Linked DNA regions of Sus scrofa. The protein of the gene in region 7 purifies or fractionates together with the protein of the main gene of each other region. This does not show direct contact. Links are inferred from orthologs where the notes say so. Each region holds a gene or a part of one and is shown on either strand. Other genes may lie near its edges.

What was found.
Region 1: the proteins of MED4 (region 7) and POLR2B purify together in Homo sapiens (affinity purification with mass spectrometry; 3 studies listed by BioGRID and IntAct, with this or other methods). This does not show direct contact. The link is inferred for Sus scrofa from reciprocal best matches to the Homo sapiens genes MED4 and POLR2B.
Region 2: the proteins of MED4 (region 7) and IFT20 purify together in Homo sapiens (affinity purification with mass spectrometry; 3 studies listed by BioGRID and IntAct, with this or other methods). This does not show direct contact. The link is inferred for Sus scrofa from reciprocal best matches to the Homo sapiens genes MED4 and IFT20.
Region 3: the proteins of MED4 (region 7) and GIT1 purify together in Homo sapiens (affinity purification with mass spectrometry; 3 studies listed by BioGRID and IntAct, with this or other methods). This does not show direct contact. The link is inferred for Sus scrofa from reciprocal best matches to the Homo sapiens genes MED4 and GIT1.
Region 4: the proteins of MED4 (region 7) and MED12L purify together in Homo sapiens (affinity purification with mass spectrometry; 3 studies listed by BioGRID and IntAct, with this or other methods). This does not show direct contact. The link is inferred for Sus scrofa from reciprocal best matches to the Homo sapiens genes MED4 and MED12L.
Region 5: the proteins of MED4 (region 7) and CCDC138 purify together in Homo sapiens (affinity purification with mass spectrometry; 3 studies listed by BioGRID and IntAct, with this or other methods). This does not show direct contact. The link is inferred for Sus scrofa from reciprocal best matches to the Homo sapiens genes MED4 and CCDC138.
Region 6: the proteins of MED4 (region 7) and CDK8 purify together in Homo sapiens (affinity purification with mass spectrometry; 9 studies listed by BioGRID and IntAct, counting the BioPlex papers as one, with this or other methods). This does not show direct contact. The link is inferred for Sus scrofa from reciprocal best matches to the Homo sapiens genes MED4 and CDK8.

The regions. Positions count from the first base shown.
Region 1 is NC_010450.4:56,256,293-56,260,336, forward strand, and holds part of POLR2B (DNA-directed RNA polymerase II subunit RPB2), read left to right. Parts: intron 1-906; coding exon 907-1,050; intron 1,051-1,285; coding exon 1,286-1,425; intron 1,426-1,519; coding exon 1,520-1,631; intron 1,632-4,044. UniProt on the Homo sapiens protein: Catalytic core component of RNA polymerase II (Pol II), a DNA-dependent RNA polymerase which synthesizes mRNA precursors and many functional non-coding RNAs using the four ribonucleoside triphosphates as substrates.
Region 2 is NC_010454.4:44,613,517-44,618,056, reverse strand, and holds the start of IFT20 (intraflagellar transport protein 20 homolog), read left to right. Parts: upstream 1-1,373; 5' UTR 1,374-1,524; intron 1,525-4,352; 5' UTR 4,353-4,437; intron 4,438-4,540. UniProt on the Homo sapiens protein: Part of intraflagellar transport (IFT) particles involved in ciliary process assembly. May play a role in the trafficking of ciliary membrane proteins from the Golgi complex to the cilium.
Region 3 is NC_010454.4:45,780,448-45,785,216, forward strand, and holds the start of GIT1 (ARF GTPase-activating protein GIT1), read right to left. Parts: upstream 3,171-4,769; 5' UTR 3,050-3,170; coding exon 2,998-3,049; intron 1-2,997. UniProt on the Homo sapiens protein: GTPase-activating protein for ADP ribosylation factor family members, including ARF1.
Region 4 is NC_010455.5:91,564,879-91,568,922, reverse strand, and holds part of MED12L (mediator of RNA polymerase II transcription subunit 12-like protein), read right to left. Parts: intron 3,899-4,044; coding exon 3,737-3,898; intron 1,788-3,736; coding exon 1,676-1,787; intron 1-1,675. UniProt on the Homo sapiens protein: May be a component of the Mediator complex, a coactivator involved in the regulated transcription of nearly all RNA polymerase II-dependent genes.
Region 5 is NC_010445.4:47,501,260-47,505,303, forward strand, and holds part of CCDC138 (coiled-coil domain-containing protein 138), read left to right. Parts: intron 1-1,825; coding exon 1,826-2,018; intron 2,019-4,044.
Region 6 is NC_010453.5:4,155,230-4,159,053, forward strand, and holds part of CDK8 (cyclin-dependent kinase 8), read left to right. Parts: intron 1-1,566; coding exon 1,567-1,664; intron 1,665-2,726; coding exon 2,727-2,805; intron 2,806-2,929; coding exon 2,930-3,088; intron 3,089-3,824.
Region 7 is NC_010453.5:19,564,349-19,567,671, forward strand, and holds the end of MED4 (mediator of RNA polymerase II transcription subunit 4), read left to right. Parts: coding exon 1-52; intron 53-1,903; coding exon 1,904-2,076; 3' UTR 2,077-2,567; downstream 2,568-3,323. UniProt on the Homo sapiens protein: Component of the Mediator complex, a coactivator involved in the regulated transcription of nearly all RNA polymerase II-dependent genes.

The DNA.
Region 1 (4,044 bases), on a different chromosome or scaffold from region 7:
CCACTTGGCGTTTGTCCACGTGGGTGAGTGATGGGGACATAGACTTTGGTGACTGGGGGGCACATTGGAGGGGAGATGGCCAGGGTTGGTGAGTGCTGACAGTGTAAGAGGTGAGGAGCTGTCTGTGACCCTGGGAATAGAGGAGCTAGCTTTTTGAGAAAGTGTGAAAAGAGCTGACAGCGCACGTGTACTGATGTGTGAAAGGCGGAAGTCAGAGACCAAAAAAGTTTGAGATGTTTGGGTTGGAAGATTCAGGGAAGTGTGATGACATCCACCTGATGAGAGATGTAGGAAGAGGAAGGAGGATGGGGTGTTGTAGGGCCAGGAGAGCGGTGGCTTATTACCAGGTACACTGCGTCTGTGTTGGTGGCTTTATGTCCCTCTCTCTCTGTGTTGCCTTTCTTCTAAGTGTTACTTTGCTTAATATTCTCTAAGTATTGATTCTCCTGTTGGATTCAGAGGCTTTAGCCCAGGAAAGGTTCTGGGATGGATTAGTCTGCCATGCACAAGGCCTGTGAGTTGGTCGCATTTAACACTTAGTGCCCAGTGCATGCCAAGTACTGTTCTAGGTACTGGGACACAGCAGAGAACAAAACAAACAAATAAGAAAGCCCCACTCCTGTGGGACTGATACCATCATGGCTGGAGAGAGACCATGAGCGTTTATGTGCTGTGGTAGATGTGTATGTCATGCGTTTGCCATCCTGCTGTAAGGGTCGGTGAGGTTCCCAGGGTGAACAGGACCTCCCAGGGCAGGACAGGGAAGAGAAGGGAGGGATGGGAGAGGTGGACACTAAGTGGATCATATGTCAAAATGCCTTTGCCTTGTTCTAGTATTTGCCAGAAATGTGATCGTGTGAGTAACAGAAGTGCCCAAACGTTATAAAGATTCGCTTTGTTTTCTAGGTATTAAACCGCCTGACTTTTGCATCTACTCTTTCTCACCTTCGTCGTTTAAACTCTCCCATTGGTAGAGACGGCAAACTAGCGAAACCAAGGCAGTTGCACAATACATTGTGGGGAATGGTGTGTCCTGCTGAGACCCCAGAGGTAATGTGCTCGCATTTGTATCCCAGACAGAAAGTCTGAGAGGGGTTATGTTAGGATATAATTACTTTAGAAGTAAATTTTAATTTAATTACGTAGTATATTTTAGAACCAAAATATTATTTATATTTTTGTTCTTAGGAAGTAAGAGTACATCCTGAAGGACAAATATTTATGGAGAGAATTTTGATAGGCATGTTAAATCACTGTGACTAATATGTACTTTACTTATCCCAAGGGCCACGCTGTAGGACTTGTGAAGAATTTAGCCCTGATGGCTTATATTTCAGTTGGATCTCAACCTTCTCCAATTCTAGAGTTTTTAGAAGAATGGAGTATGGAAAATTTAGAAGAAATTTCTCCTGCAGCTATTGCTGAGTGCGTATAGATACAATTCTTTAGACACTGTTGTTAGCCTTTGGTTATTGCTTAGAGTTATTAAGTGCAAAATGCCTTTGGTTTTGCATTTTAGTGCAACCAAGATCTTTGTTAATGGCTGCTGGGTCGGAATACATAAAGATCCTGAACAACTGATGAACACTCTAAGGAAACTGCGGCGCCAGATGGACATCATCGTGTCTGAAGTAAGAGTCTTGAATTAACCAAGAGGGTGTGATCTGTGGGATTTCCAAACAAGGCACAAGACTAGTGAAAGTTATCTTTGCATTGGTATCTTTCTTGAATGAATTTCTTTTCCTTTTAATTGTTAAGTTTATTGTCAAAAGTCTAGGTGATATTTAGAGCTAAATTTAAGTGTAAGGTATTGCTTGCTTTAATGCCTTAGATATGCATCTAAAATTTTGATGGGTAATATAAGTTATTAAATTACACTTTAGAATTCAAATTACATTTTAAAGTAAAAAATTCTTTTGAGAATCTTTTTGTAAAGCTGACAGTATTACTTTTTTGATTATTATTTTTTAATTACTCAATGAATTTATTACATTTATAGTTGTACAGTGATCATCACAATCCAGTTTTATAGTATTTCCATCCCACACCCCCAGCGCATCCTCCTACCCCACAAACTGTCTCCTTTGGAAACCACAATTTTTTTAAAGTCTGTGAGTCAGTATCTGTTCTGCAAAGAAGTTCATTGTGACAGTAATGCTTTTAAAAGGCATGATCAGCTCTGATTTCTCCTTTGTCTGACTCCAAAGATTCATTCATGCAATGCGGTTGACTTTTATCAGATTCTCTTAGATTTTGGTGGGTGCTGACATCCTCTGGATTAGGGTGGATTTTTTTTTTTTTCTTTTTTTCTTTTTATGGCCATACCTGCAGCACATGGAAGTGCCCATGCCGGGGGAATCCAAGCTGCAGCTGTGGCCTACACCTCAGCCATGTCAACATGGTATTTGAACTGCATCTGTGATCGACACCACAGTTTATGGTAACATTGTATCCTTAACACACTGGCGAGACCAGGGATTGAACCTCCATCCTCAGAGAGACAACATCAAGTCCTTAACTTGCTGAGCCACAATGGGCATTCTTGGATTTTTTTCTTTTTTTTAATCATTAAAATGTAGCGTGAGCTTTATTTTTCCCCCAGATAGGGCTTTTGCTCTTAGGGCACTGCCTTGAGGGATAGGGCTCAGGCTTTTGATTCTCCTAAAGCTACACCTTGGGGTCTGTCTAGGTGAAAGTGGGTCAGGAGAGGAAACTGTAGCACACTTAGGCTGGCCTCCTGTCTACATGGCAAAGTAGAGAACTGAGGTTCGGCTGCTCCAGGCCTTCCTCAAGTGGGCAGACCCGGGGTTTCTCGTGGGTGTATTCGTAGCTTGAAGTCAGCAACAGGATGCCTCACTTGGGGGTGGGCAGGGCTGCGAGAAACCCTAAGAATCAACAGCGGCTGTGTTTTTGTAACTGAGAACCTGGTTCATGCCATGTGTATCTGCTGAGAGCTGCCTCTAGCTTTTCTGTGTTCTCTAGAGTAAATTTAAATTTTTTATGTTGTTTTAGGGCTCTTTCCCTTAATGGGCCCCTCTCTCAGCCTGGAATGCCTTTGCTCTCTGTCACCCATACCTCCTGAAAAATGGGCAAGAGAAAAGGGTGCCGATTACCGTTTTTAGGTAAATGTCACTAATTCTGCTGAGTTCTAGTAGTAACTCATCACCTTCAGGGTGTTTTACCTGGCCCCTCAGTTTGATTTTGATTAGAGATCGATAGACATTTTCTTTGAAGGGCTAAAGATTCAATGTTTTAGGCTTTGTTTACCTTACAGTGTCTGTTGTACATTCAGCTCTGCTGTTGAGAAAAGTAGCCATAGACAATTCATAAACCAGTAAAACTTTATTTACAAAAATAGATAGCAGGCGAAGGCGGATTTGGCCTGTAGCCTATTTGCTGAGCTCTTGATTTAGATATTTGTGACCATATGTAGCATAATTTCCTTAAAAAGTAGAATGCTTGAGTTCCCTTTGTGGCTCAGCAGGTTACAAACCCAGCTAGTATACTTGAGGATGCAGGTTCGATCCCATGCCTTGCTCAGTGGGTTAGGGATCTGGCTTTGCTGTGAGCTGCGGTGTAGGTCACAGATGGAGTTTGAATGTGGCTGTGGCTGTGGTGTAGGCCAGCACCTGCAGCTCTGATTTGACCCTTAGTCTGGGAGCTTCCTTATGCTGCAGGTTAGCCCTAAAAAAGAAAAAAGAATGCTTATCTCAGGTAGTAACTATTGATTTATTTGCCTCTCTCATTCACCACGGTGTTAACTTCTCAGCAGCATGGAAAGTGTCTTTATAGGGCTTTTTGTATTTTCAGTTCTGAACACGGTGCTTGACGTGTAGTGTCTGACAAGGAGTGAGTGTTGAACCTATAAATGGACCCTGTGTCTTTCAATTAGGTTCTTTAATCTTCCACTGGAAATGGAGTTGGAAACCTCTAAGTGGGAGCATTGTGTATATTTTTCAGGAGTCTCCTACTTTTTCTTTACCTTCCTATTTTCTGATAACCAGAGGTCACCATGTTACCCATTTCTGACTTTCGCCTCAGTTT
Region 2 (4,540 bases), on a different chromosome or scaffold from region 7:
TGACTTCATCATCATCTCCTCTAAGTCTAACCCAGAAATGTGCTTAGCAGAATGCTATGCACATTCTGAAGTATTTAATATGTCAGTGTGTTAGACTGAAATTGTCCCTGAAAAGATTTAGGTAGGTCCCTGTGAAGAGAGTCCAAGGAAGCGCCAGAGCAGGTGCTGTATGAAATGCCGAATTCCTCTGGTGGCTGGTTCAGTAGGGATGAGATGAGCCCCCACCAGCGGATTGCCCAATCAGTAAGTAAACCTGAATGGTATGAGGTCACCTTACCTTCCTCCGCCCACCCCAAAGGAATAAATCCACCCCTTAACAGCGGCTGCCAACAGAGGAAGACAAATCCAAGCTAATCTCTTCTTTTTCCTACAAAGCAATTGCTTTGAGCCCATGGATGACATCAGCCCAGATTCCACCCGCTCAGATTCCGCCCAGGCCAATGGGTTCCTGGAATCCTGTGGCAGGTGACGCCCCAGAAAGTAATTCCAGTGAGAATGAAGTTTCCACTGAGAGCCTCAGTGCTCTTCCTTCCGGACTTTGTGTGTGGGTATTTGGGGATGCTAGGGGCGTATCCGTGTCACGCTCGGTGAAGCTAATGGGAACCCAAGCCGAATAAAGGCCAAACAAACAAGGCGGTGATAGAAGTGGGGTCCTAAGGAAAGAAGGTCCGAGAAACCCATCACACGGAGCATGGCGAGAGGAGGAGCCGATCCCCTACAGAGGGGGGAATCTAGCAGAAATCCAAGGGTGTAAATCCAAGCGTGTAAATCTCATGCTTCAGCCAAAGGGTTTGGGGAAATTTAGCGAGACTCAACCTCTCTGTGGCCACTGTAGAGTCTTCCTCAACCCGTACCCCGCCTCACCACCGAGAAACCGAGACCGGCTCTAACACCCACCCAAAGGATTTGAGATCTCCACCTCCCTTCGCCGTCCCACGCCTTTTCCCCAGGACCGGGTAGGGTTCTCTTGGCTCAGCCCAGGACCCGTCCATCCCTTCCCCTAGGGCATGGGCAGACTCGGCTCTCACCCTCCCTGGTGGCGCTTCTCCTCTCAGCTGGGTTGCAAGTCGACACCGCGCCGCCCCTAGACCACCGCTTGCCCGCCAGCAATCTCGGGCGGTAAACTCACATTCACCACCCCCGGACTCCGCCCCCAGGCGGCCAGGGCCTGAGACTGTGAGGCCGGGCAGACATAGCACCCAATCAGGGCGGAGGGAGGAGCCCCCAAGAGTATTCCGCAGCGAGCGTACACCTACTTCAGGCCGACTTTCCGGCGCAAAGACCTCTGGGTCTTGTAGGCAGCCATCCCTCTTCCCAGGCCTCTGTCTCCCAGCATGCTCTGCCAGCTGGATGGGTGTAAGTGCTTCCTGTGCCCGGAAGTGACGTTAGGCGTAAACAGGTCTTGTAGCCGTGGCAGCGGCTGAGGCAAGCTGGCTGGCTGGGTACCGGCTGCCCTGACGCGAGAGGGGAGTTGCCTGCGGACCTCAGCCTGAGCCGCAGGCGCTGCCGCTGCGGGGTGGACAGGTAGGCTGTGACTTCGGGTCGGGGATGGGCCCGGGGCAGGAAGAGCCTGACAGGCCCGCGCCCCGAGGAAAAGCAGTCCCAGGGCGAAAGAAATGTGGGAATTCCTCCCGACTCTGGGAGCGGTTTTACCCGGGCTTGGGCCTCGAGCTTTTCGCTCTGACGCTCGCAACCCTCCTAGGAGGAAACTGCGGCTCAGATAAGTTCAAGGAGTTTACGTAGTGAAGACAACCAGCCCCATCACCCAGCTTTTCCTAACTTTCTCCACACCGCGCGGGTGGAGGTAGCGGCCAGCGTAGAGCCAGAGCCAGGGTGGTGGTGGGGATGGTGGGGGGACGAGAGCGCGACGTCCTTCTCATCTTCAGGGAACTCAATTCGGCCTTTATACCCAGTGTTCCTCAGATGAGCGTGCGGTGGGAGTTGGGAGAGAATCCGGTAGTCGGCTGCGAACCCTCTCTCTCCACTTCTTCAGGCCCGATCCATCTCATTCAACCATCCCTTCCAACCATACATCTGGCTCAAGCCAGATGCATGGGAATCTTACCTGACTCTCCTTCACTCCTCTCCAAACCCCTACTTTCATTCATCCTTTACTAAGTCCTATCAACTCGACTTTACCAAACAATTCGGAACACTTTCCTTCAGCTCCAAGCCTTGGTTACTGTAATAGCCTGCTCTGGTGTTTTTGTTTTTCTTGCCTCTTTTTAGGGCCGCACTCGCCGCATATGGAGATTCCCAGGCTAGGGGCTGAATCGAAGCTACAGCTGCCGGCCTACACCACAGCCACACCAGATCGGATCTGCCACCTACACCACAGCTCACCTCAACACGTGGGATCCTTAACCCAATGAGAGGGGCCAGGGATCTAACCCTCAACCTCATGGTTCCTAGTCAGATTGGTTTCTGCTGCGCCACAATGGGAACTCCTAGCCTGCTCTGTTTTAGCAGTCATTCATACCACAAACATTTGCTGAGTGCAAGTTCTATGCAGGCACTATGCTAGATGCTAGGGTAGCAGTGATGAACAAATAGGAGTAGCCCCATCTCTTTTCCCCCCCAGCTCGTTCTCCATCCTGGGTCATTGATCTCCAAAATAGCCACATTTGATGATGCCAGTCTGCTTAGAATCCTCTGGCTACCTTTATGAGAAAATGTAGGCTCAATACCGCAGCTTTCAGAGCCCTTCATCATCCAGTGCTAGCCTCCCCATCTTGCCCCATCTCATTCTCTCCCCCTTGCTCAGTGTTTCAACCATACTAGCCTTTCAGCTTGTGGAACACGTTAAATTTTTTACAGCCTCAGAGTCTTCCAGTCTTCACACAAGCTTTCCCTTCTGCCTGGAATACCTCCTCCTTGCTTCAGTTGGCAAGCTTTTGAACATCCTTTAGGTCTCATTTTAAGTGTCACTTCTTTTCTTTCTATGGCTGCACCTGTGACATATGGAAGTTCCCAGAGCTAGGGGTGGAATCCGAGCTGCAGCTGAGGCCTATGCCTGCAGCCATGGCAACATGGGATCCAGGCTGCATCTGTGATCCCATTGCTGGGGATCCTTAACTCACTGAGCAAGGCCAGGGGTCGAACCTGCAACCTCACAGAGACAACGTCAGGTTCTTAACCCGCTGAGCCACAACAGGAACTCCCAAATGTCACATTTTAGAAGAATTTTGTGTATAAATTTTTATGTAATTTTGTTTACATATGAATTATGTCCTCCTGCTATGGCTTCACATAGCAACATGTGCTTTTCCTCATACCATGATCACAGTTTGTGATTGGACCGTCTGTCCAGAGGTCAGAAACTAAAGAATTAAGGCATTTTCTTCACTCCTTTATCCCCAGAGCAGGGACTCAGTAGATGTTTGTGAATAAATCCACGCTCTTAGAAGGGAGTGGAAGTGGAAGCACCTTTGTGCGCGCAGATTACTTGAAGCTTTCTAGAGCAGCTGGTCTGGTAAATCACCTGTTAGGTGTTAGTGTTCAGACTATATGTGTAACTAGGACAAATGGGGAGACAGTTCTTTTTATTTTTATTTATTTTTTTAATGTGCTTCTCTCAGCGCCTTTCACCAGACCTTGACTTGTGTTGTGGTCTAAGCAAAACTGAGCTTCCTATTCTAACATCTTTTGTTACATATTTAAGATAAGTTTACAGTTCCTAATGGAATTCCTGTCGTGGCGCAGTGGTTAACGAATCCGACTAGGAACCATGAGGTTGAGGGTTCGATCCCTGGCCTTGCTCAGTGGGTTAAGGATCCAGCATTGCTGTGAGCTGTGGTGTAGGTTGCAGATGTGGCTCAGATCCTGCGTTGCTATGGCTCTTGTGTAGGCCAGCAGATACAGCTCCGATTGGACCCCTATCCTGGGAACTTCCATATGCCGCGGGAGTGGCCCTAGAAAAGGCAAAAAGACAAAAAAAAAGGTGACAGTGCTTTTTAAAAAGCCCAATTATAAGGAAGCTTTGGATGATTAAAATGTTTTAAAGGGAAGATGCTAGCTTACTTACTTGAGTGGATTCCAGTGAGGCTAAAGGCTCTGGACCACAGTCGTGTACAGCCAGACGCGTATAAGTTGGACCACACGGTGTTGGATGTGTTTTTCCCTCCCTTACTTAAACTTTTTGAATTAGAAGGAAATCAGTGTTTCCTACCCAGAAAGTTGAGGCATCTTTTGGACCAGGAATTCAGGGTGCCCTGGAAAGGTAGAAGATATCTCTGTTGGTTCCCTTGCTTCCGGGAAAAAAAAACCCAAACTCTTTAACTTAGCATAGAGGGTCTTTCTGATCTGGTTCCATCAAGCTTTCCAGCTTCATCCTCTGTCCTTTCATCTTCTAGGCCCGATAGGCCCTTCCAGTGGCTTCATGCTCTTGTCCAGGCTGTTTTCTCTGCTCGGAATGCCTTTCCTTGACCTCCGTACTTGGTATGTTCTTGTGGATACGTCATTCCTTTTTGTGTTTTCTGCTGGAAAAAGACTGACTCAACTTTAGGTCCCAGTTCAGGCCATTGTACCTGTGGCATACATT
Region 3 (4,769 bases), on a different chromosome or scaffold from region 7:
ACCTGTCAGCCCACCCACCATCTATATCATGAAGAGAGAAATGAGCCTGCTGGTTCCCAAATGCTTCTAGCTAGTGACCAGCCTTGCTCACTCAAGCTGCTTGTAGGGTGGGTATCTTGGGGTCTTCACAGCCTGTGCCTGAGGCTACCAAAGTGGGAAGCCTGGATGGAGGCCCATGGCAGACACGAGGAGCAGGCCCTTGAGAGCTGAGCCAGGACTGTGTGGCAGGGGGAGGGGAGGGGCAGGAAGGGAGAACACACATTCTCCAGGGTTCCCTGACCCCTGTCCCTCTCCTGGATTCCCAAGGTAGGAAGGGACACAGATGGTGCCTGACGAGGTGGCACCAGCTGCCAGACCAGCCATGCCATGCCCAGCTGCCTCACAGCTGTTCCCTGTGTGTCCAGGCCTGGGAGGAGAGAAAGGACAGAGCCCTTTGGGGTCAGGCTGCACCTTACTTTTCAGCTCCATGACCCTGCAAATTAACCAACCACAAAAGGGCCACAACCCCACTCCTAGGGCAGATTGCAGGGCTCCTATTACAGTGAGAAGCTTATGACTTTGGGTAGGAAGCATATTCCAAGGAGGTGGCTCTGGGCCTGGGCTCCAGACTGTTGGTTTCCCTCAAGCCTCTTACCTAAGCTGCTATAGGTCCCAGACTGAGAATGCCACCCCATGCATCATAGGGTGCAGGTGCCCCTAAAAAGTCAGCTGAGGTCCTGAGAAGCATCCAGACCCTTAGGGAATGCCTACCAGACAGCATGCTAGGTGCAGGGGTTGGGTGATGAAGAAGACTTTGATGGCACCCTGCCCACCATACCACCTGCCTCTTCCTGACCTGTATTCTGGATCAGGGGAAAAGGTAGTACCAGGAGCACAAAAGGTCTCTGTGGGATGAGGACTTGGGGTACGAGCTGGGTTGGGCACCCCAACACACCAGATACATACCACTCCTCCCTATGCCCGCTGAGCATCTAGAGACTTCAGCCAAATGGTCAAAAGCAATGGAGAAAGGACAACTGCCTTGATAATGCTGCCTGTGTCCCCCAGGTCCAGAATCAGGACCACAGACTTTGGAGATAGGATAGTTTTTTTTTTTTTTGGTCTTTTTCTAGGGCCTCACCCACAGCATATGGAGGTTCCAAGGCTAGGGGTCTAATCGGAACTGTAGCCACCAGCCTACGCCAGAGCCATAGCAACGCCAGATCTGAGCGGCTGGATCCTTAACCCACTTGGCGAGGGCAGGGATTGAACCCGCAACCTTGTGATTCCTAGTCGGATCTGTTAACCACTGAGCCATAGCAGGAACTTCTGGATAGATCTTAAAAACCATTTCTATTCCAACTTCTTTACCTCAGAGTTGAGGAACCTGAGACCCTGAGGGGGAAAAGTCTTGCCATGAGTCAGAGTAAGCTGGAAACAAAGGCAACACCAAAATCCAGGCTCCCCTGATAAGATATCTACTAAGCACCCCCTCCCACTCTTACTTGCCCTTCCCACCCCCACTGTGACGTGTGTCCAGCAGAGATGCAAAAGGGCGGCCTGGGACAGGCACTGAGAAAACAAGTTCTCCTCTTAGCCCTTCCATCCCCAGACCTGCCTGCATTTGGGGGAAGGAGATAGTAGTTTCTAACTCATCAGGGGTAAGGTCGGATGACCCACCTCCTCCCCCATAGCTTCTTGGGGGCACTCTGGACCCTAACATGCCCTGAGAGGAGGCCTCAGGGTCATGACTACCCAGACTACCATGCCTCTGCCAGGCACCCACAGTTCCCAAACACTCTAGCTTGGAGACATCAGAACCACCAGAGCGTCTGTTGCTCTCAACCTGTTGGGGGTCCTGGACCTCTCCAAAGGGTGGCTGGAAGTTATGGGCACACAAAACAACACCCCACACTCATGCTTAATTGCGCCCATAGTCCCCCCTCCCTGAGTCCACCCGGTCTCCCAGCAAGATAGCTCCTTTTATAAAAAGAGAGGCCGGTCAAGGGCCAGGGCTTCCTTCCCCGGGCCAGATGCTGAGCCCCATCACCGGCAGCGTCCTCCCACATCAGAAGGAAGCATCCTCTCCAGGTCACTGCTTCTCACTCCCTCAGCAGGTCAAGGGGTTTCACCTGGACCTGACTCTGCTGGGAATAAGAGAAAAACCACGGCGACTACAGCCAGAAGGCAGGCCAGGAAGCCAGGTGAATCTCAGGAATCTAGGCACCCCTTGGCACTGCTCCCCACCCATTTCTGACCAGACTGGCCTAGGAGATGGCAAGGGGTCTGTGCTCAGGTTGGGGCAATGCCAAGCCCACCTTCCAAGCAGGCCTTACTGGAGCACAGGGGAAGCTGAATCTCGTTTCCAGTCATCAGGCCTGGGGACGCCTCAGGGGAAGATGCCCAGGCTCAAGTGGCCCTGAACACCAGGCCCTGCAAAGGGCCCCAGCCTTGGGAGCCAGGGGCAAGGAGTCCTAGGAGTAGCCACCCCGTCAAATGCTCCAGAGGAAACAGTATCCAGACCCCCCCTAGCCCATCTGCCCAGCTCTCTGCCCCTTGCCCTCCGCCACCCCAGCGGGCGTGCAGACCATGCGAGCAGCAGGTGCAAGACGCGGGGGTGGCACTGAGATGACACAAAACCTCACTCGCCCCCACCTCCTAAACCCCGACCGGCCTCGCCACAGCCCTCCTGCCACCCCAGGCTGGCGCTTCCGTTTGGATATGAGATGGAAGCGGGGGGTGCAGCCAGCTGCCCGCCTCCCTCTGACTGAGGGGTGGGAGGCGGCGCCGGGAATGTCCTTTCTCGCTTGTCCACGGACACGAGGAAACTGGGGCCCCCAGGACGGCCCTCCCGCCAAGGACGAGGCTCGGCAGCGGCCGGGGCGGGGGCCGAGGCCGGAGGCCGCAGCCCCCAGCCCCGCCCCGCCCTCCGGCCCCGCACGGCGCTCCCGCCAGGCCCCGGCGCCCGCCCGGCGGCGCCTCGGTGCGCGGTCCCGCCCCCGGCCCGGCCCCGCTTACCCGGGGCGCTGCAGTCCGCACACACCTCCGCTCGCGGCCCCTTCCGGGACATCCTCAGCGGCGACGCGGCCGCAGCCCTCTGGGCCAGCGTGGGGGGCGCGGGCGGCGGGCCCGGGCGGCGGCGGCCCCTGCTGCCCGGCCCGGCTCCGGCAAGGCCCCGGCTAGGCTCCGCGCGCCCGGCCAACCGTCCGCCCCCGGGGCTGGCCCGGAACCCGCCGTGCCCGCCCGCCCGCTCGCCCTCGGGCGCCCTCCGCCCCGCGCCGCCCCGCGCCGCCCCGCCGCCGCTCGCCGCTCGCTCTCTCCGCCCCCTGCGCGGCTCTCGGCCGCTCCTGCAGGAAGCGGCGCAGGCCCGGCCCACCGGGGGAGGGGCAGCCTGCACACCCGCCCCACCGCCGGGCCCTGCCGGCCGCGCCTCCCGGAGAAAGGAAGCCGGGAGCGCGGGCGGGAGGGGGTGGGGGCGTTTAAAGGGGCCGCGGCCGCCGCCGCCGCCGCCGGGCCCGCGCTGCAGCGTCGCCTGCGCCCTGCACTGGGCTCCGGCGCGCCCCTGTCCCTGAGGCTGTGCGAGCTAGCCCCACAGCCCCATCCCCTTCACTGAGACGGAAGCTGGCCCGGGGAGCTTGAGCCCAGGGACAGTGACCCCTGGGGATCAAAGAAGAGAGTAAGGAGCTGAAGGCCCAGGCCCCCCTCCTCATCCAGAGGCTGTGGTTCGGGGTAACGTTCCTGTCTCTGTTTGGGGTGAGTTGTGCGTCCTGGTCCGCTGTGTGTTCACATCTGTGTGTCCAGGTGTTTGTGTGGTCACACTCTTGTTGACTACGCACACCGCCAACAATATGGACGCCCAAGTGCCAGAGGTCATGCAGTGTATACCCCTGCCTCCGAGCTGAATAAACATCTATCCCTCCTCCCGGCTTCCATCCAGAAATGAAAGAGTGTGGACTGTTTTTGAAGACCTCCTGAGCAGTGACCACTGTGCCTGTGTACAGTAATACCCACTTGGCATCGGTCTTGCATACATCATTGGTGTTTCTGAGCCACGGGAAGTCTGCGTGTCCAGGGCACAAGCATATAACATACAGGGGCCTTTTTTGCGGTGGTTTTTCCTCCTGGACTTCACACAGAGACTCGTTGGAGGATGGGGGACAGGGAGAGGAGGCAGCAGGCCACACGTGGGTGCACCCCAGCACTGAGCATGCTCCCCCATACACGTGTGCCCCACGTGCACCCAACCCCCATCTTGCAGCAAGAAAGGCTAAAGCGCTGGGTTTGTGGAGAGAGGGCAGGGGTGCTAAGGCCCAGGCCCAATGGGTCCTGATGAAGTGGTGACACGATTAAAGGAGGGTTCCCCAGTGGCAGGCGGGGAGTCCTGCTTAGTAACAAGGGGTGGGGGTAGGAGGCGAGTCCTTGGGCAGGGGTGCAGGAGTTGGTTGATTTTAAACCAGCGGTGCCAGAGCAGCAGTGACTTGTGGGTGGGCAGGCTGCTTCCCTGGGGGAGACAAGTAATGCTCATGAGTCACACCACCCGAAATACATGCAAAGCTGCCTCCATCGCCTTTCTCTGCAGCCCAGATTGACAAGTTTGTTTGAAATCGCGATCCACGGGGTATATTTATAATCGCACCTTAAAAAAATCTCCTTGCAGTCTTCCCCTCCCCCCCCGTAGCCAGCCGTTCAGCTTGCAGGGCTTCTGGGAGCAAAGATACCTCGCGGTGGGGGGGGGGGGGCACCACCTGCCGCCCGGTGCTGCACCCCCCACCCTCAGGAGTCCGTCCGCC
Region 4 (4,044 bases), on a different chromosome or scaffold from region 7:
CCTTGTCTTCCTTGATAAAGGTGAACCATTTTGAAAAATGTGACATCTTGCATATCAGTCAAGTGGCATATTAATTTATTAAGTAAGTGCTTCCTCATTGTTTCACACCATTGTTGGAGAAAAGGAAAGGTTGCTTAGGGAAGGTGAACCACAAGTAGGGAACACCCACAATCAGCTGACATGAGCAAAAACAAACCAAAGCCTCACTGCCATGCCCTGAAATATGGCACTTAAGGAGAATCATCTTAAAAGAGCTGAATGAATCACTTGCAGAAGTAACCGAGCCCAAGAGATGACTTGTAAGTCACTGCGAGGTTAAAGGAGAGCACTTCCCAAATCTTGTCAAAAGATAGGGATGCACCTCCCCCAAGGCAGGTAAACGGGGAAAGGTAGTTAGCAAAATGCACAAAGTATCATGGAGCTGACATTCTGGTATCAGGCAAATAAAAATAAGTGGAACAAGCGGCATGAACCAGGGGACAGACAATGACTGGTCCTACTTTTAGAGCATGAGGGAGTGGGATGGCGCACCTAGGGAAGTGACATCTGAGCAGAGACCTGAGGAAGTGAAGGAGCTGCCCTGGGAGGGGAGAAAAGATTCTAAGACTCTGCAGTGAGAATTTGCTTGGCAAGTTCATGGAACAGCAACATGGCCACTGTGAAAAGAGTAGAATGAGCAGACCCATGACTGCCAGGAAACCAGGTAGAGGTTGGAGCTGGTGCCAAATTGTGGAGGGGCTTATAGGCTCAGACTGGGAATTATTATTCTAGGAATAGTAAGAAACACTGCAGCATTTGGAGCACTGGAAAAATTTGTGATTTACACTTAAAAACAATCATTCTGCCTACTATATAGAGAATAGATTTCACATATCCAGAAGGTAGCAGATGACAAGAGATCCCCAAGAAGTTAAGTATCTTGTTCGTGTTCATCCAGAACTGTTCAAGGAAAAGACACTGTGTCACTGAAATCATAGTCCCACATAGACTCCATTAGGCTCTACAGCTGGATAAAACATGCCAGATGACCAATCTATCCACTCTGCTCCATTCTATACTTTCAAATTCCAATTTGATCACTCAGTTTCCTTGTGGTACACAGAATACCTGTGCTCTAAATCGTAATCAGAACTGTGGATGGTGCAAAGGCAAAATTCAAAAAGTCTTTGAAAATGAACCAGAATGGCTTCTGATTCATAAATGAGTATCTTGTACACTTGACCAGCAACAGTCTGGCTCTAGCAGTAAAATTAAGATGAGTTTCTGAACTTACAGAGCTCACTCTGAGACCCTTCCTGATAAGTGGAAGCCCAACGGAGGACCTGGCAAGAGGTCCTTTTGTCTTACTGCCAGGCCTCCTTCAATATTGATTCCTCTAGGACCTTTCCCAGGAGGCAGGGGCAGGAGAGGAGCAACAACTTTGTAACAAAGTTATGTGCAATATGCAGAATGTTACTTGTATACAGACATTTATCCAACACATAATTAATATTATACTGCTATTCATCTCATGGTGATAAGAACACAGGTAGGAGAACAGGGTGGGAATTGTTTTCCTGCATCTAAGCAAAACACATTGCACTCTTATGAGTTTAATGTCAGTTTGTTTGAAAGGAAAACAAATGAATGCCATTAGAACCATACTTGCCTGGCTTAGTATTCTACTGCACTTTACCTGGTTAACTTGATTCTGCAGCGATGTTAGGAGGCCTTCTCGTTGTTCATCCTGTCCCTTCAGGCAGGTAAGGACCAGTGAGAGGAATGGTTGTTGACTCAAAAGAGACATACTACGAAGGAAGTAATAACAGGAGATCTAGTTAGAAAGAATGGATTACTTTCTGTGCAACACTTATTTCTTGCCCTCGCGTTATCGGCTCTTATTTATTTTACTATTAGAAAAGGGAGGGGAGTAGTAAATAGCCAAGACTACTTGAAAAGTTAAATCATATCTCTAACTAATAAGATTAAAAAGCCACTGTAATGCTTCTAGATTTAATATGTTTTCTTGCCCTGAAAGGCATTTCCAAATTAGCATAAATTCATACCACATATGAGTGCGTATGGGGGGAGGGGGAACAAGAAGAAGAGACTTTGCAGTTTCTATCAGTAAACTGAATTAAAAGATACACATCAGGAGGAATATCACTTCATACACAGAAAAATGAAAAAATTTTAAATTTCTGTCACTTAGTATTACTATTTTAGGGTCCAGGAAATAGGCCTTATATGATTTCTGTGCTTATTTATTTATTTATTTATTTATAGCACATTTCTCAAGACCAAATAGCTGGGTATTGGTAGAGCTAAAATTAGCATCTACTCCTCCAAGGAGGACTCCAAACCAGTATGCTTGCTAGTGATCCCCAGTACTCTGCCACATCCCACAGGCTTAACGTGTAAAGGAGTTTAAAGACATTTGGGGGGAAAAACTCCATTTTAAATTGGCATTTTAGCATTTTTTTCTTCCATGATCAGGAACAACTGACAAATCATGCTGATAAACTAATTTTGCTACACTGGAAAAGAAAATTCCTTAAAATGAGATGGAGGTCATAATGTTTCAATCTGCTTCATCTTACACCAGCATAGCCAAGAGAGATTAGCTTGGGAAGAGCCATCTTTAAACTCTGCAATTCCATCTGCTCTCCCTGCAGGAAGTGAGGCGAAGTACATGCCATCGCCCATTAGCAGATAAACTTTGAGAATTAAAACTGTGTCACTTCACTGGTTAACAAATATGGGCAAAGATGACAGAACAACCAGATACCAAACAACATACACACAAAGCTATGTCAAATAACAAAATGTACTTTAGTTAAGAGCACAGACTCAGAGGCCAGACCACCTGGGTTTCAATCCCAACTTTACACCTCTTTAGCTATGTGTCCTTGAGAAATTTACTTAACCTTTCAGTGCCTCAGTTTCTTTACCTATAAAAAGGATATAATGAGAGCATCTACCACAATACGATTGCTGTGAGATTTTAAAAGTTCACATATGCATATAATGAGTTTGGTACATAGGTTGACATTTTATAAGGGATCATTAAATGGCAACTACTGAAATACTATTAATTAGGTGACAAGAAATCTGTATGATCGGAATTTTTGTTTTTTAACATTAGAAATTTCTTCTCACTCCTGGTGTGCTAAATTTAACATGCTTTCACATTAGAGCATATTTTTGTTCTTTCTCAGTAACATGGTCAGTTTTCCAAAATAATTATATGAAACATTTTCTAGGGCATAAAATTTTAAAAAAAATTTTTGACTTGGAGGCTTATAAGTTAATGTGTGTGTAGTCTAGAACAAGAGCCCTAAATGTTAAAAATATTAGTAACTATTTCAGGGTCCAGCATGATAGAATTATAAATAATTGCATGAATTTTAAACCTAAGTACCTAAATAATAAGAAAAAAAAAAAAAAAAACAACCTGTTGAATACAGGATGAAGTGGATATCCAAAGCTGATTCAGTAGGTCTGAAGTGGGGCTAAAAAGCCTTTAACAGCACAGCAGTGATTAGGGTACAGAGGCAGAAGGGAGAGCTAGTGTACTGAGTATTATAATGCGAAATCTTTTAGGAAACAGAGCTTTGCCTAATAGAATATTTTCAATTTCATATAAAGATGAAATTTCAGTAGACTCTGGGTACAACAAGGATGTATATCTGTAGGATACTGGATTCTCTCAACTGTTCTTTAAACACTCACATAGAAACACCTATAGCAGCCATACCTTTTCTGTTTTTGTCTGTCTCTCTCCTTTTTGGAAGAAGAACCCAAGTGCTGTCCCTTCTCCAGCTCCTCCCCAGCAGCTTTCAACACTCTTCCCTGCACAGAAGTTGGCAGCCTGGCAATTAGGGGGGCCACCAGCCATACACCCCTGCGTTCAGAGGAACTAAAATCAGAAACAGGTGTTATACCCAAGGAGGCAAACTTCTGCTCTGCTCTCACCATTATAACCAAAACTCCAAAGCAAGACTTTTAGGCACAAGATACACCGATTACTCTAATATTTGCCTTTCTTTCTTTACTATACATACT
Region 5 (4,044 bases), on a different chromosome or scaffold from region 7:
TCTGGAGCTGTCTTACCAAAGTCATGTACATGGTGACGTCTGTTAGGGTCACTGTCAGATGTGCCCTGTGCACCTATCTCCGCTGGTCTGTGGCTGGTCATCTCCCCTTGACAGTGTCTGTGCAGAGCAGGGGCTTTTAATTTCAGTGAAGTCCGGCTAAGTGTTTCTCGCAGGTTGTGCCTTTGGCGCTGTATCTGAAACGTGCTCGCTGTACCCCAGGTGCTGGTGTGTCTTTTGGAAAACTGACCCTTTGTCACCTGTGCTGCCTTCCTTCCCTGGGGACTTTCCCTGCCCTGAGGCCTGTTTTGCTGAAATGCGGTTGGCTCTGCCCACTTTCTTGGGGTTACTGTCAGCGTGGTCAGTCTGTCTATACATGCACTGTTAAGCTGTGTGTGTCTTTACGTTTAAGTGGGGTTTTTGTGGACAGGGTGTAGGGGTCTCATATTTTGATTTACTCTGACATTCTCTCTAAGTTGGTTTGTTTTGCCTATTGCAATTTAGAGTGATTATTGATATCAGTGCCAGCTTTCTGTTTGATAAATTGTTCTTTGTTTCTTCCACTTGTCTTCCTTCTGTCATCTTTTTACACTGAGGCTTGAAAGCACAAATGTATTATCTTTTCCAAACGGTATCAGAACCTCATGGGCAAGACGTTTAAATGAGACTGCACTGCTTGTGCTGCTCACCACCACGTCCTTTGGCCTTTGAGACCCTAAGATCTCAGTAGGTCTGTCTCTAATTTTCTGCAGAGGTTCCGAAGCTGATGGTCATTATCCATGCTGCCTGAGCAGTGCTGGTTTGGATACCAGTTAGTTAAAAGTCATAAGATGGGGCAACCGTCACATAACTCAGGGGTGTGGGTCGGAGAACTGGTTCTGATAAGGGGTATAAGTCACGTCTGAGCCTGGCTTAAGTGCCCTCATGGGTAGCTGTGTGCACGGTTTTCTTGGGTTGGCTTCTTAGGGATGTGTGGAACACAGCAGGAGCCTGTGTTGCTCTAGAGGCATCATATGCCATCATTTCTGTTTTGCTCACTTTCTTGTTTTAGTTTATTCAACATGAGAATTTATCCGTGATTCTAAAGCAGTATTTTGTTTTTCTGAAATCATTAAAATTTATCAAAATCATCGTGACATTTAGTCTTTCTGAGCCGTAGAGCAGCAAGGCCCTGGATGACCACTGTACAAGCTGCACCCCGAGGGCCCTGTATCAGCAGCGGGGCGTGTGGGGGGCAGGGGCCCCCTGGGTCTTCTGACTGCTCTGTGCCCGAGGTCTGCCATGATCCGCTCTTAAATGCTTTGAAATTGAATCTTGCCTTAGTTCTTCTCTAATTTCCTTCTTAGGAAATTACCGTTTTTAATTCCTTAATTCTAACCATTTCTTTAGAGAAAGATGTAGTCATACACCTTTTTTTCTTTTTATTTTTAAGGCTGCACCCATGGCATATGGAGATTCCCAGGCTAGGGGTTGAATGGGAGCCATTGCTATAGTTGCTGGCCTATACCACAGCCACAGCCACGCCAGATCTGAGCCTCATCTGCGGCAATTACGGATCCTTAACCCACTGAGTGAGGTCAGAGATGGAACTGGCATCCTCATGAATACAGGTTGGGTTCTTAAACCACTGAGCCACAATAGGAACTCTCAGTTTTTAAGTTGATTATAAAATTAATCTTTCCAGTCTTGCATATTTTCAACTACATTTAATTTTTTTTACTTAGCAAAAGATTGATTTATTTTTAGTTTATATATTTGATTATGGTATTTAAGAAATATATTTTCTGAACATGAATAAGTGTACTAAGATAGTGCATATTTTTAACAGCATTCGACTATGACATCAACATTGAGGAGATTAGGTGAAGATATATTCAAAGGAGTGGTGACTAAAGGAATTCAGGGTAATTCTTCAGAACATTCTGTGGAGAATAAACCAAAGACAGCTGCTTTCTTTAAGAGCTCCAGTTTACCGTTGAGATTTCCATCAACTTTAATTGTTCTCAAAACAGTCACTCAAGGTAAGCTTTCAGATGTGCTTCTGGTCTAATTTCTTATAAACAATTAGAAGAGAACTCTGAAATGAGGCAGTTCTTTCATAGATAAATATGTTTTGCCTTTTCAGAATGAGCTTTTAAGTTGTTTAAATTGGTGGCACATTATCAAAACCGACTCTAATGGATGAATTAGAGAAGATGAGTGGTGGACCAGATTGTTGCCCTTCCCAGAAGCCTTTGTTGATTTTCTTAGATCGTGTTACCATAGCAGCCTTTGCTCTCACTGTCGTTGCATTTACCATGTGGTCCTGACCCGCCAGAGCAGGTGTTGGCAAACTATAGCCTGTGGGCCAGACCTGGTTTGTAACACATCTCGTTTGTTTCCTGTTGTCTCTTGTCACCTCACAAGGACAGAGCTGAGTGTCGGCAGCAGAGACAGCATAGCTCCAGAGCCTGTGATGTTCTGACATGGCCCCTGCTCTGGTGTGTGAGCTCACTGCCTTGTTGCCATTGTGTCTTTTGTGCCTGGCGTGGGGCTCGAGGTCTGCTAGTGAACAAGGAAATGAAGGACTCAAAAATGTTTCCATCAGAGCTGGCCGTTTTAGTACAGTTCTGATACACTGCTGTAAGTAGCTGTCTTGTGGATTAGTATTTGTGAGGCTTTGTGTGAAGGGAGGTGACAGCTGTGTAGTCTTTCTACCTTCCTTCTGTGTTGACTGTGTAACTCATTCTGGTGGGTTTGTAAGTGGGCAGTGGCAACAGGCTAATTTGATGACTTACTCTGAAGTACAGGCTCTTTGGCTATTCTTGATTGTAGGGATTTTAAGGGGAAAAAAAAAAAAAAACCAAACCATGACTCTGCCTGAGTTGTTTTCTTCCTTATGGTTGTGGTTCCCAAAGTTATAACAGGTGGGGTGGTAACTGGTTGACAGGCCGAGTGTGAGAAGGGACTATCAGCCCAGCCCAGAGTGCACCACGGCAGCGTGTGATCAGGTGTGATCTTCGTCTCTGCCAAGGCTGATGGGATGGAGAGAGGAATGGGCGCTAGTGTGCACAGGGGCACACGCTGCCCTCTGCAGGCAGTCCCGGATGAGTGGAGGAGGAGCAGAGCATTCATGGACAAGGAAAGTGGCTGAGCAGTTTGTGGATTCTAATGTGCTGTGGCCTCACTGTCTGTATCCCCTCTGAATTCACCTGTGAGGCGCTAACCTGCGCAGGTACGTCAGGAAGTTGGGCCTGGGGAGGCACTTAGGTCAGGGGGTGGGGCCCTGGGGAATGGGAGGGGGCCCTGAAAGCGACCCCACAGAGCACCCCACCCTCACCATGTGAGGACACGGCACGGCAGGAGGAGGGCTCTCACCAGCATCCAAGCCGCCAGCCCCTCGACCTCAAACTTGGGGCCTCCAGAAGGGCCAACATTAAATTTCTGTTGTTTGTAAGCCACCCAGTCTCAGGCATTTTGTTACAGCAGACTGAATGTGTGTTTCAGAAAATGAAACTAATGTGTTTCAGAAAATGAACTCCAGAAGAAATTACAGAAATCTGTTGATTTTTGACTACTACGATGACTGCTGCAACCAGAGTGTAACTAAACTACTGTGACCTGAGTGTAACTACCATTTTTTACAATCACTATTAAGTAGCTGTAATGCATGAAAAAAGAAATCTTGTTCACATAAGCAAAACAAAGTATGTAGGAGTTCCTGCTGTGGCATAGTGGGTTAAGAATCCGATTATAGGGAGTTTCAGTGGTGGCTAAGCAGATACAAATCCTACTAGTATCCATGAGGATGCAGATTCAATCCCTGACCTCACCTCATGGGTTAAGGATCCGGTGTTTTTGTGAGCTGTGGCATGGGTTGGCAGTTGTAGCTCCAGTTTGACCCCAAGCCTGGGAACTTCCATATGCTGCAGGTGTGGCCTTCAGAGAAGAAAAAAGGAATCCGACTGCTACAGCAGCTCATGTCACTTCAGAGGTGCTGGTTTGATCCCCAGCCCTGTGCAGTGGGTTAAAGGATCCAGTGTTGCTGCAGCTGCAATGCAGGTCTCA
Region 6 (3,824 bases), about 15 Mb from region 7:
AATCTGTGTTTTTCCTTTCAATCTCAAAATAAAATTGTGCTTCCACGGAAATATCAGCTCATTTAAATTAAAGTCTCACCATCCCAGCATTTCATCTGCATTTTAAAATATTCCACCTCCTTCTGTTTTCTAATTGTGTCATCTCTCATGGTCTCACATGTCTCCTAGTTTCTTGGTTTCCATAGCGTGGTCCTAGCCCAGCAGCACCGCAGTCACCTGGGCAACGCTGCAAGTGCAGGTGCTTGGCTCCTGCCCAGATGTGCTGCTCAGCAGCTCCGGAGTCACTAGGAAGTGCTCCGGGGACGCCTCCGATGTGCTTCAAGTCTGAAAGTGCTGCGTGTTAGGCCAGAGGTGGTGGGCTGAGGGCGCACCTGTTAGAGGGCCTCTTAAGTCACACGTTAAAGGCTCTCGTTCCTAGAATCCTCAGTCCCTCATATTTCAACGAAAAAGTGCTGAATTTTGACATTAGTTTCACCTTTCGGTATCTCATTACAACAACAGTAATAATACCAACACCTAGAGAGCGCGTTCCCCACGCCTGGCACCACTGTAATTGCTTTTCGTCATTCTGAAAAGAAACATGATAAAAGGTACTGTTTCTAAGCTCCATTTGGCAAATGGGGTTACAGAGGGCTTAAGTAATTTGTTCACAGTCACCCGACTCATAAATGTCAGGTCAGGATTTGAGGCCAAGCAGCGTCTCTGCAGAGTCCCCGCCGATAGCACCTGGCCTTGCTGCACAGGTTCTGTACCGGGTGCCGTGTTTACATAGCCCCGGGCGGCAGTGCCAGAGATGGCTGTCTGAGAGCCGTGCTGTTGGGAGGGTAGCCGCTGAGCTCTGGAAATACACCTGATATGACTGAGAAATTGACTTTTTTTTTTTTTTTTTAATTAAGAAAAAAATTTTTTTCTAGGGCCACAACTGCGGCTTATGGAAGTTCCCAGGCTAGGGGTTGAATAAGAGCTGTAGCCGCCGGCCTCCACCACAGCCACATCATCTCGGGATCCGAGCTGCGTCTGCGACCTACACCACAGCTCACGGCAACGCCGGATCCTTCACCCACTGAGCAAGGCCAGGGATTGAACCTGTGTCCTTATGGCTACTAGTTGGGTTTGTTTCCACTGCGCCACATGGGAACTCTGAAAAATTGACTTTTTAAATTTAACTTGGTTTTAATTAATTTGGTTTTAACTCTAAATAGCCACATGTAGCTAGTTTATTCTTTGGGGTATAATGTTTTCCCCTTAGTAGAAAACACAGGCATTTTGGTCCTGTTCTAAATTGGACGTGGCAGTTCAGATGGTGTAGGAAAAAGGTCTTGGTTGAGAGTAAGAAGACGTATGTTTAGTTACTTCTTATAGGAGAACCGGGTGAGCTGATGATTATTAAAATGACTCGTGTGAATGACTACATGAAATTGAAAGGTTTTTAGTTTTTAACTGGGGGGAATGAAACCCTCTGAACTGTGGTGTTATTGATCAAAAACCGTGTACCTCCCACAAATGTGCCAAAAGGTAAAACTTTGAGAAGTAATGCAGTGATGTTTTTATGATTTATGGTTTCAGCTTCAGAAATTGCTTACCATGGACCCAATAAAGCGAATTACCTCAGAACAGGCTATGCAGGATCCCTATTTCTTAGAAGACCCACTTCCTACATCAGAGTAAGTGATCAGTTTATTAACTCACCAGCACAATAGAATTTTTTGGTGCGTGCTTTTTTTTTTTTTCTTTTTTAAAGCCACTTCTGTGGCATATGAAAATTCCTGGGCCCAGGCTCAAACCCATGCCACAGCAGCGCGGGCACTGCATCCTCAGCCCACTGTGCCGCCAGGGAGCTAGCTCTTGGTGCGTGCTTTTTTTTAGCTGTCAATGCCAGGTTGCTGCTGCTCTTGTTCGGGGACTCAAAGAAATCCTTATGACAAGCAGAAAACGAGCTGGTGACTGAGAGCCGTCAGGCTTTTACAGCGGAGAGACGCTGCTGCCCTGCTTGCTGCCCGCGGCCGGTGGCGGCGGTAGTCGAGGGCGGGCTGCTCCCACGCACTGGCACTCCCTGGGGCTCTGAGCCGGCGCACTGCTTGCACTTAGTTCTGTGTCCCAGTTGCAAGCCCCACCCCAAAGAAGTGTGTGGTCCCCATACATTCCTTCTTTTTTTTTTTTTTTTTTTCCGTCTTTTTGCCTTTTCTAGGGCCGCACCTGCAGCATACGGAAGTTCCCAGGCTAGGGGTCCAGTCGGAGCTGTAGCTGCCAGCCTGCACCACAGCCACAGCAACATGGGATCCGAGCCACATCTGCAACCTACACCACAGCTCACAGCAACGCCAGATCCTTAACCCACTGAGCGAGGCCGGGGATTGAACCCGTGTCCTCATGGATCCTAGTCGGGGTGGTTAACCACCGAGCCACGGTGGGATCTCCCATTTCGTGCATTTTGGATGCAGTCTGGAGGGTAGAATGCAGTTTTGTTGAGTCATGACATTCCAGCTGCGATCTCTGCCTTGGTTGTGGTGCTGAAGGAGCAGTGCCGACATAAAGGAGAGCCGAGGCCCTTTGGATGGTGCCTGGGGGTGCCGGTGCTTTTGTTCAGTCACTGGTTGGGAGAAGACACGCACTGCCTCGCGGCTGCACCGGCAGGGAGGCGGAGGCTGTCTGAACGGTGAAAGCGCGTTTGAGACGCTGATCAGCGCGCCGGAAATCGTTGTTGTCTCTTCTCTTTCCTGGGTCAGCGTTTTTGCCGGTTGTCAGATCCCGTACCCTAAAAGAGAGTTTTTAACGGAGGAAGAGCCCGAGGACAAAGGAGACAAAGTAAGTGTCAGGGTGCGGGGCGGCTTCGTGCGTTTCTGCTGGGGTGCCGCCTGCCTTCTGCGGCCGCGGCCGCGGTTTGCTCCCCTCTGAGTTGCTCTCTCTCTTTCCGTTTCACCAAATTGAGAAGAACCAGCAGCAGCAGCAGGGCAATAACCACACTAATGGGACTGGCCACCCCGGGAACCAGGACAGCAGCCACACGCAGGGCCCCCCGTTGAAGAAAGTGCGGGTTGTTCCTCCTACCACTACCTCAGGCGGACTCATCATGACCTCAGACTATCAGGTACGGCCGCCCGCAGCCCTGCATGGGGGTGGTGGCCCCGGGGCCGCGGCGGCAGGAGCACAGCGCCAGCCTCTGCTGCTCGGGAGACGTTGGCCTGGGGGGTTGCTGGCCTGCAAAGCGCCAGGCGGTTCTGTCGAGGAGGCTTAGCCAGGCGTGGAACGGTCGGACCGAACGGCGCCCCTGTTAACCCGGTGGCCTCGGTCAGGTCCTAGACAGGGCCTGGCTTTGGCGTCTCCTCCGGAGCACGAGCCGCGGGAAGCCACGTGGGGGCGGGTGGGCCTCAGCGCCCAGCGTCCAGGAGGTGCCCAGGAAGTGCCGTCTGTCGTCTGAAACCACGGCAGCTAGGGACGCGGTTAGGCCTGTGGGCAGCCTTGAGTGGGAGGCTGGGGCCCTCGGCTCCCGCGTTGGTAGGATGCGGTTGGTGGTAGGTGGTAGGTGAGGCTGTGGTCGGGTTAGAGGAGAGGGCGCGAGCCGGCCTGGCAGGCGTTTGCTGGATGATCACAGCCCCTTTCGTCATCGTCGTCATCGCGGGAGCTCAGGCCCGCGGCCAGCACTCCGGTGCTGGAGCCTGTGGTCAGAGCACTTCACGTGTGCGCTGTCCTGCCGAGCCTGACACAGACGTGGTTTCCTTCCGACGTGATGGCAGCCCGAGGTGGGTGTCAGCGGCCGCGATCCTCCCCGGGTTCGCCCCGCGAGCCGGGGCGATGCAGGACAGACCCAGGCCCACCAGAGGCTC
Region 7 (3,323 bases):
GGAGTGAACGGTCATTTACCAGGAGACGCACTTGCAGCAGGCAGGCTGCCAGGTAAGTTACCAGAATAAGGCTTTCACACTTGTTTTTGTAGACGTCATGATGACGACAGATATACGGCTGTTGAACAAGTTTGAGGGTCTGGACCCAGCTCATTTTAGTAGCTAGGTTCTCCAACTGCTCTCTACTTTCTAACAGCTTAAAGATTGTTCAAAATGGAGGTTATTATGAAGTTAGAAGAAACTGAATTTTTTTCTCATTTATTAATGTGTCATTTTCCTCCGGCATTAGACTTCTCAGTAACTAAGCCCTAAACTTAGCTTTTTAAAATGAAACATGCTTTATAAACAGAGTAAGATGTATGTTCAGTTTAAAGAATACCAAGTGAACACTCTTATGAATAACCCTCAAATTAACAAAGTGAATAACAAAGCTTTTTATGGACTTTTTTGTAACTAAATAGAATGTCATTTTTGTGAGACTCATACTGAGCTTCACCCTTCCTCAGGCTTCACATACAGGTTTGTACTGTTGTTATATTTTACGTTCCCTATCTTTCTTTTTTTTTTTGGCGACTTGTTTTATTTTTGACCTGGCAGAATATTTTTAAAGTTTTTTTTAAAACCATGAAAAAATTGCTTTTTTGAGCAATTACTTTTAGTATTTTACATATTTCGTTTATTCCCGTTTTTTGTTTGTTATTTCTTTTAGGGCCACACCTGTGGCATATGGAGTTTCCCAGGGGTCTAGCGGCTGGTCCACACGCACAGATCTGAGCTGTGTCTGTGACCTACACCACAGCTTATGGCAATGCCAGATCCTTAACCTGCTGAGCAAGGCCAGGGAACGAACAAGCAACCTCATGGTTCCTAGTTGGATTCGTTTCCACTGTGCCATGACGGGAACTCCCCCCTGTATTTTTAACGTTGTTATAAATGCTCTAGATAATGCATGACATTTCATTGTAAGGCTGTCCCTCTGTTACTAAAAATGCTTTTTATAAGCACCATTTTTGTTAATTATTCAAGGTGTAAACTGAGAACTCATTGGGCATTAGTTTCCCTTGGAATCACATTTTTCATTGTGACTATACCGTATCATATGACATAAGCCACTCACAATCCAGGCAGGAGGCAGAAACCACACTAGCAATATGAACAAGGAGAATTTAAAGAATTACTGACTAGTAACAATACACTAACTACTGGATGGTAAAGAGAACTGTATTTTTTTGGTCTGTTTTTAGGGCTGCATTTGGAGCATTTAGCAGCATATGGAGGTTCCCAGGCTAGGGGTTGAATCTGAGCTGTAGCTGCTGGCCTATACCACAGCCGTACCAGATCTGAGCTGAGTCTGCGACCTACACCACAGCTCACAGCAACACTGAATCCTTAACCCACTGAGTGAGGCCAGGGATTGAACCTGTATCCTCATGGATACTAGTCAGATTCGTTTTCTCTGGGCCATGACGGGAACTCCAAGAACTGTATTTTTCAAATGCAGTAATAATAGATACAGGGCCCCTTTTTTAGTATAGTACATATATTAGCTGTTTATATCACGAGGGAATATATGGAGAGTAGTATATATGACCTATTATATGTGCTTAAATATATACAGACATATGAAATATTTGGAAATTGTGAATGTCTTGTAAAAGGAAAATTAATGGCAGTTGACTATGAATAGTGGCTATAGTAAAGTGTGATTTAAAAAAAAATAAACAGATTGTGGTTACTAAAACATCACATTTTTCCTTGATATATTTGATCTTTCATTAATTTGGTCAAATGTGTATTTAGACTTCAGCCTTAAAAATTTACTTCATTTTATTTGCATGAAGGAAAGAGTAACTAAGAAGTAAATTGAGTTGAAATGTTCTCACATGGGCTTTCTTTTCTTCAGATGTTCTTGCCCCCCAGTATCCGTGGCAGTCAAATGATATGGCAATGAATATGTTACCACCAAATCACAGTAATGACTTTTTGTTGGAGCCTCCAGGGCACAATAAAGAAAATGAAGATGACGTAGAGGTCATGTCAACAGACTCCTCAAGCAGTAGCAGTGACTCTGATTAAAGAAAATGTGACAAAAAAAGCATACAGAATTGAATATTATAGAAATCGGCTTCTTAAACAGCAGCAAACCTTTAAAAGCCAGGTGATACTGTAGTGAAAGTGTGCCATCGTTAAAAATTATTGTGGACTTTTTGAAGCCAAAAATCATGGTTTCGTTTCTGAACCACTAGGGGAATAGAGAAAAACAAAATTTACCGTTGGAATAAAAAGATTAGTCAGTTCAGTGCCATCTTAGTTGGAGTTGTACATAGTAGTTCTGGAAATAAGATTTGAGGGACATGACCCATGTACATCACTAATAGACCTCTTGTTATTATGAAAAGCGTAAACAAAAGGCAGTAGATCGCTGAAAATGCAACATAGCTCAGAGTAACAGAAAACTCATTTGAAAGTGAAGGCTGTTAGCTTTTGTCACAGGAGAACTTGCCTCAATTTGTACTGTTTGTAATTACTGTATTTTTTGTAAATAAATACACTTGTTTGGAATTTTACCACTGTATCTCAAATCAAATTGTTGTGTACATGCTTACCTGGTTATCTGTACATCTTTATAACCACTCATCCAAAACCCTTGGGTCTCAATGTTTCCTAGAATTTGGGTTTTAAAAAATACTCTGGGAGTTCCTGTTGTGGCTCAGTGGAAAGGAATCTAACTAGGAACTATGAAGTTGCGGGTTTGATCCCTGGCTTCATTCAGTGGGTTAAGCATCTGGTGGTGTTGTGAGTTGTGGTGTAGGTTGCAGTTGCAGCTCAGATCTGACATTGCTGTGGTATAGGCCAATGGCTACAGCTCTGATTAGACCCATAGCTGGGAACTTCCACATGCAGCCCTAAAAAGCAAAAAAAAAAAAAAACTCTGGAAAGTTAACAGGAGATATATATATCGTATGTTATATAATGAAGAGTCATCTTATAAATTAAGCACATTTAACTTTCATATTCAGGTATATTTCACATACACATTATTTTTTTTTCCTGTCTGCTCTGGCATAGGGAAGTTCCCAGGCTAGGGGTCAAATTGGAGCTGCAGCTGAGGCCTACACCACAGCCACAGCAACACTGGATCTGAGCCGTTATCTGCAACTTACACCACAGCTTACAGAAACACTGGGTCCTTAACCCATTAAGAGAGGCCAGGGATTGAACCTGTATCCTCATGGACACTAGTTAGGTTCTTAATCTGCTGAGCCACAATGGGAACTCTAGAAATACAGATTACTGTAAAAAGGAACTAGGAACTACAAAGA